2 linked regions of the Saccharomyces cerevisiae S288C genome follow. The protein of the gene in region 1 purifies or fractionates together with the protein of each later gene. This does not show direct contact. Each region holds a gene or a part of one and is shown on either strand. Other genes may lie near its edges.

Region 1 (3,931 bases):
TTGGAAGCCATTTATCAACAGCAAGGAGGCATTCTGGAAAAATTGCAGCATATTTAAGAAAAGTGATAGGTTTATTTTTATACTAGAAGGACAGGAGCAACGCAAGCCATAATGCAGATAATAACCACTACGTTCATTCAAAAAGTAATTTTAGGATCACACCAATTACATGAGCAATTATCTATAGTGGAAGCCCGAATGATTGAATCTGCCATAGTTTCAATGCTCACAGAATCATTTTGCGAAAATGAGCAGACATTAAAATACTTAGCACGGCTACTTTCACCGATGTCTTATATGGATGTTATTAATGCAAGAAGGGGAAAGAAAATATGTGGGTACCCGCTATGCTATAAGAGTGCGGCAGAAAATTCATCTGATGGCTTCTTTATCCACTCAATGTATTGTAATAATTATCACAGTAAATGTTCGTTGTATTTAATGAGACAGTTATCACAAACGCCTCTGCATGAAAGGCGAGGCGTGCATTTAACTAGTTACATTAATCTAGAGTTTGATGATATGTACTCGGTAAGCCTTTTAGAAGAATTAGTTGGAAGTGAGGTACCTATAGATACCGTCAAATCGCTGATAACGAGTTTCAAGGATCTTGAGTTTGATGATACCTACAAGAATGAGCCTTTACCATTGGATGTGTACTTTGGACAGTTGACTACTGATGAGGAAACCTGTATAGAATAGGAAGTATAATTAAATCGTCTTCATCAGGATCCTTATCGCGGTCATACGAGTGACTATTTACATAGAAATGGAAGTAACCAGTAAATTTTCTATTAAACTTTCTGATTCACGCAACTTTTGCACTTAAAAACCGTATTTCGCCAAAACACTTGGCAAGTCCCTCCCTTCTATAAAGAGTGTCACATATGGTAATGTTTCTTTGCTCATTTTTCTGAATAGTGTCAACCGTTTGGCGTACATTTCTTTTGACTTTTTATCAAAATATGCTAGTTGGCCACCGTTCTTTAAAAGCTTTTCCTTATATTTGTTAAAGTACTCCACTCTTTGAAAACTTTTGGAATGTAATTCGAACATTATTTCTCTCACGGGATCTACCCATTCTTTAACTTTCTGATATTGACTCGAAGGATTACATTTAGTAGACTTTGGGATATTTGCAGCGTATTCCAAGTATTTCGGTAAGTTTACTTTAATAATCTTTTTCGACTCTAGATATTCCTCCCAAATGGCCTCATGTAATGCCCAAGCAGCATTAATTTCGCAAAAATTGAGATTATCGATATTTTTCTGAGAATCCTTCCTTTCTTTTCGTATCAATATTCCCAGCTTTTTCGATTGTTGTCTGCCCTTGTTAATTGGTGACCGAACAAACCATATTTGATTCCTTCCTTCTTTTGTATATGACAGCCCAGCAGAAGGTGGGCCATTTTTCAATTTTTGCTGAATATGAAATAGTTTCAGGCACGCATGTTCGTTCAATGCTAATGGTAATAGGAGTTTGTGCTGATACGTTTTTGGTATGTATGCAGGTAAAAGGCCCAAATCTTGTTTTCGCTTAATGTAAGCACTTAGAACATGAAATCTTCTTACTTCTTCTGGGTCGTTGGTCTTTACATCCCCTAATGAAGTCAAAGAGTTGAGGATTTTCGTTGTTTTCAGTTGTTTTTTCATCTTTTTTAATGGCTTCATTAAGTTTTTGATTTCTTGTAATTTACCTTCCAAAAGGCAATTGTTCAACAAACTGAATTCATTGAGTAAAGTATAAACACTCCAACTTGACTTGTCATGCTTGTGTTTGAACAATTGTATTGAAAGTGTTTTTTTTATTTCATATTGAAACGCATATGAGTGGCAACACTTTGGAATGTTTCTGAGAACGGTCCGATATAAGCTCAATACGTAAGACTTGTGAGAAGGAATCTTTCCAAAATTTTGAGCCATATTTTCTACTTGTTCATTACAAAAGTGTTAATCTGTTGCTTTCTCAGGCAGACTTGGTAACTGAAAACCTTAGGAAAGGCTGGGAGCAGCTTTGAAGTTAGAAACGGACACAAAAATTAGCAATAGTGAAATAAAATAAAATGCAACTTATCGTTTATAAAGAGATGTTTAAAAAATCAATTTTAGTTATACAAAATATACATATAAAATAATGAAATAAATGATTTAAACACTCTAGTTGACCAAAGCGGAGGCAGTGGCGGATTCGTACTTCCAGTTTGGTGGTAAGACAGCAACAGTTCTGTAGTATCTGGCCAATCTGTGAATTCTAGATTCGATCAAAATCAATCTGAACTTAGCGTCTTTGTCCTTTCTGTTTCTTTCCAAGTGCTTTCTAACAGAGACAGCCTTCTTAATCAAGTAGTACAAATCTTCTGGGATTTCTGGAGCCAAACCATTGGACTTCAAGATTCTCATGATCTTGTTACCAGTGATAACACGAGCTTGGGTAACACCGTGAGCATCTCTCAACAAGACACCAATTTGAGATGGAGTCAAACCCTTTCTCGCGTACTTGACAATTTGTTCAATGACAGATTCAGAGGACAACTTGAACCAAGCTGGAGCATTTCTAGAGTATGGAATAGCAGAAGAAGAAATACCTTTACCCTGTTTAAAGTAATATTTAGTGGAATTGGATATTCCAAAAAATTTATCGAATGTTAGTAACATGAAGATTCATATGGCTTGAAGAAAAGTGTATCATGACATATTTCCTCGTTCAGACCATACAATTCCATTAAAGTATAACTATTCCGGGTGATTCTTCAATCTTGGTTCTCCTCCGATAGGTTAACGTGTTATGTTATGAGCTTTGTGAAAACTAATTCATAAAGGCGGCTAGCCATCAGTAATTTTCCGGCGTAAATTATACTGAGAAACGGCAGATAGTATAACCTGTTAAACTAATGCAACATATTTGTAAAAGAAATTGGAATCACCCAGCTAATGTACAGCGAGTAGAAACTACTCTCCAGTATAAACTATACCTGTGTACACACCGGAACTTGTAATAGAATTGTGATCCGACAGAGACAAATTATATTAGAAATCCACTTTTGAATTCCACATTAGAGTGTCATCTGATTTAGCGAACTATTCAATGCAACTTTTGCATTAATATCTCGCTATGGTGTTAATAAACATACGGCACTGTGCATACGACCCATTTTGACTGATTGTTGTTGATTGATTTAGTGGTTAACCGTTTAGAATAAATATTAATGAGAAAGAAATTGTTAATTCAATCACGACTGTGATATATGTCGGCCAACATAAATTTCCATCTGTACAGAAGTGGAAATCTCATTCGTATCAAAATTTCACCGCTACTTTGCGCGCTCAGAAAAAACGACAAAGAAAAAATTATAACGTAAAATTTTTTTAAAAATGTTTGGGTCTACTTTATGGTTTATGGGTGGTAAAAGGCTTATATTATTGCTATGAAGATAAAAAAATGTTTAAAGTACACTACATGATTATAGGAGGTAGTTTAGTGTTTAAGATAGACTATACTAACAATTTTCTAATTGCTCCCTCAATTCTTCAACGTCTGAGTCATCCTCCAAACCTGAAGAAACCTCTATCAATTTAAAAGTACCGCACTCCTCTCTGATCATTTCTAATGCGCCGGCATAAAGCATCTTCCATTCCTGTGAAACGACCGTCATTGGCTTCCAATATACTAGAACTAAGGGAGTCTGTTTGAACCCATCTTTTGTTGTTGTTGGATATGCAGTTAGTACAAATCTAGGTGAGTTATCAGGTAGGATCTCGGCTAATTCGCTCAAATCTTCAATTTCGTCTAGCTCTTCTTGTTCGTCTTCATCGACAATTATCTCATAGGACGGTTTTGGTTCGATCTTTATTGATAAAGCTTTTATGGAGTCGGTTCTTGCTGTAGATGTACGAAACTTCTTGATTTTATTTCTAGTTTCAGTTCCAATTT
Region 2 (3,667 bases), on another chromosome or scaffold:
TCCTAACATGAAATCGCCGCTGGCCAAATGCATTAGAGTAGGATATCTACTGAAGAAAACAGAGTCTTCTAAAAGTTTTACTAAAGGTTATTTTGTGTTGACTACAAATTATCTTCACGAATTCAAAAGCAGCGATTTCTTTCTAGACAGCAAGTCTCCCCGTTCAAAAAATAAACCTGTTGTTGAACAATCAGACATTAGCCGTGTGAATAAGGATGGGACTAACGCTGGCAGTCACCCATCGAGCAAAGGGACACAGGATCCGAAACTGACGAAGAGAAGAAAGGGTTTGAGTTCTTCGAATCTATATCCTATCTCTAGTTTGTCTTTAAATGATTGCTCATTAAAGGATAGTACTGACTCAACTTTTGTTTTACAAGGGTATGCTAGTTATCATTCACCAGAGGACACATGTACAAAAGAATCAAGCACGACCTCAGATTTGGCATGTCCAACAAAGACGCTTGCTTCAAATAAGGGCAAACATCAACGTACGCCTTCAGCTCTCTCGATGGTGTCCGTTCCGAAATTTCTAAAGAGTTCTTCCGTGCCCAAGGAACAAAAAAAGGCTAAAGAAGAAGCTAACATCAATAAGAAGTCAATTTGCGAGAAGCGCGTTGAATGGACGTTTAAAATATTTTCCGCAAGTCTTGAACCAACTCCAGAGGAATCAAAAAATTTCAAGAAATGGGTTCAGGACATAAAAGCGCTTACAAGTTTCAATTCTACTCAGGAGAGGTCGAACTTCATTGAAGAAAAGATTCTGAAAAGTAGAAACCATAATAATGGAAAGAGCTCTCAAAGGTCCAAAAACAGTACATATATCACTCCAGTAGACAGTTTTGTTAACCTTTCTGAAAAAGTAACGCCATCTTCCTCTGTTACCACGTTAAACACTAGGAAGAGGGCAAATCGTCCTCGTTATATAGACATCCCAAAAAGCGCAAATATGAATGCAGGCGCTATGAATTCCGTATACAGGTCAAAAGTCAATACACCAGCCATTGATGAAAATGGTAATCTGGCCATAGTGGGAGAAACGAAAAACAGTGCTCCACAAAATGGTATGAGTTACACAATTAGAACCCCTTGCAAATCGCCTTATTCACCTTATACTGGGGAAGGTATGCTTTACAACCGGTCAGCAGATAACTTAATGGCATCCTCTTCGCGAAAAGCATCGGCTCCCGGAGAGGTACCTCAAATAGCTGTTAGTAATCATGGGGATGAAGCCATTATTCCGGCAAGCGCGTATTCAGATAGTAGTCATAAATCGTCTCGTGCCTCCAGTGTTGCATCCATTCACAACCAACGGGTTGATTTTTATCCTTCGCCATTAATGAACTTACCAGGTGTTTCACCCAGTTGTCTAGCATTGGATGGTAATGCAAACGGATATTTTGGAATACCATTGAATTGCAATTCGGAAGCAAGACGAGGGTCAGATCTTTCACCTTTTGAGATGGAGTCTCCATTGTTCGAGGAAAACAGAACTCAAAACTGCAGTGGCTCTCGCAAAAGTTCAGCTTGTCATATTCCCCATCAATGTGGTCCAAGGAAAGAAGGTAATGACTCACGATTGATCTACGGCAATGAGAAGGGCGCCTCACAATCACGTCTAACGTTGAAGGAACCGCTTACATCTAAAGGTGTTGAAGCTCCTTATAGCAGTTTGAAAAAGACATATAGTGCGGAAAACGTCCCACTAACATCTACTGTATCGAATGATAAGTCTCTTCACTCGCGCAAGGAGGGAAGTACTAATACTGTACCTGCTACATCCGCGTCAAGTAAGTGACACTATGAAAACCTGTCCAATAAGACTGCACAGATGAAGAGCATGTCATTTGGTTCCTTGATAAGTGTAATAAGCAACAAGAAAGTCCTGGGTCATGTTCCTGCTGAAAATACAAACCCATTAACTACCGGAAACGAAGAAGATTAAGACAAAATGGAAAAGTTAAGTTAAACGCAATCAGTTCATATATTCTTAGATAGTTATCATGTTTTTATAAGTAAACAAAGTAGTCTTCTACCAAATAAAAATAGATTCCTGATTGGGTATTTTTCAGAAGTATCATCTGAACTTGATGTTATTTTAAAATGAAAGCCAGCGTCCATAATTATCTTTTTCTTACTTGTTTTTTACAGTGGCGGTAGGATTGGCAATGCCTGTTCATCTCCAGTTTTCCGGTCCGCTTACGACATCGGCCTTTCTATAAGACAGGTTGGCAATGCGCCACGGTACATGATGACGATAGGAGCCTTCGAATAATATTTTGTTGTGAATTCTCCTGGGAACCTCTCAAAATCAAATATGGGTTTACCTAAATCGGCATATAAGAAGTTACTCATAGATTGTCCAACGAGAGTCATTAATAAAAACTGTGCCCAACGAGTCAAAGATGTTTCTCCGCTCATTACAAACTTCGAGAAATGGTCGGATAAGCGCAAGAAGCTCTATTTCAAAGATGAAGAGGAAATGGTGGGGCAGTTCCATTTGGAAAATTTCAATTTAAAAAATAACTTATATGGTAGGCTTTTAGCTTCTCCAATGAGAGCAGAAAAAATCTCAAAATTAAAATCGTGTAGAGAATTACTAATTCCATTGAAAGTGGTACCATCAACTGGCAAAGATCAGCATGCTGATAAAGATAAACTAAAACTGGTACCTACACTAGATTATTCCAAATCATACAAAAGCTCGTACGTATTGAATTCAGCCTCCATTGTACAAGACAACTTGGCGGCTGCGACGTCATGGTTCCCAATCTCGGTATTGCAAACATCAACTCCAAAGAGCCTAGAAGTTGATTCCTCTACATTTATAACGGAATACAATGCTAACTTGCACGCATTTATAAAAGCAAGACTTTCAGTGATACCGAATGTTGGACCTTCTTCGATAAATCGTGTTTTACTCATTTGTGACAAGAGAAAAACACCCCCGATTGAAATACAAGTAGTTAGTCATGGTAAAGGGCTACCAATTACACAGTCTGTCTTTAACCTTGGTTATCTCCACGAGCCAACTCTAGAAGCTATCGTGAGTAAAGATGCAGTTACTAATGGAATTTACCTGGATGCCGACAATGACAAGGATCTCATCAAACACCTTTATAGTACATTATTGTTTCATTCAGTTAACTGATTGCGGAAGAAAAAAGGAAGGAAAGCGGGATATATCGCTGGAATTGTCTCTCTGAATTTGCCATTATTCTTATTCAATGAATACAAAACTGGCTGTCAGCGAATGGCATCATTTTGCAATCCGAAAATGAAAAATTTGGGCGCCTCGGGCAGGAGAATTCAGAACCCTTAATCCCGCACATCTACGTAAAATATCTCTGAGGTGTTCTATAGTCCATCACTTACCATCCATCTGCAAGGCTGTATGATTGATAAAGAGGAACATTAAGGGTAAATAGATTTGTTGATTTGTTTGCACTAGTGGCTTTGTATTAAAAACTTCAAGGGCATACACATGCATTATATTCAAGAGCACAACCAATAATTTACCATTATAGAAGGTACTTCTTTGAAAACTAAATCATACACTTTTTCCCACGAAAAGGCTTACATTTAAAAGCTAAGCATTCAATTTAGTTTTGCTGATCAATTTCTCGAGTAGGCTTGTCATCCATAATATCTAGTAGCTGGAGTATCC

The links.
Region 2: the proteins of RRG1 (region 1) and RRG8 purify together in Saccharomyces cerevisiae (affinity purification with mass spectrometry; 2 studies listed by BioGRID). This does not show direct contact.

Annotation. Positions count from the first base shown.
Region 1 is NC_001136.10:578,679-582,609, reverse strand, and holds RRG1 (Rrg1p), read right to left. Parts: upstream 1,924-3,931; coding exon 826-1,923; downstream 1-825. Other genes in the region: RTR2 (putative protein-serine/threonine phosphatase), read left to right, coding at 112-702; 40S ribosomal protein uS15 RPS13, read right to left, coding at 2,158-2,592, 3,132-3,152; AIM7 (Aim7p), read right to left, coding at 3,498-3,931. UniProt on the Saccharomyces cerevisiae protein: Essential for respiratory growth and required for mitochondrial protein synthesis. Required for vacuolar acidification.
Region 2 is NC_001148.4:756,331-759,997, forward strand, and holds RRG8 (Rrg8p), read left to right. Parts: upstream 1-2,317; coding exon 2,318-3,151; downstream 3,152-3,667. Other genes in the region: RGC1 (Rgc1p), read left to right, coding at 1-1,798. UniProt on the Saccharomyces cerevisiae protein: Required for respiratory activity and maintenance and expression of the mitochondrial genome.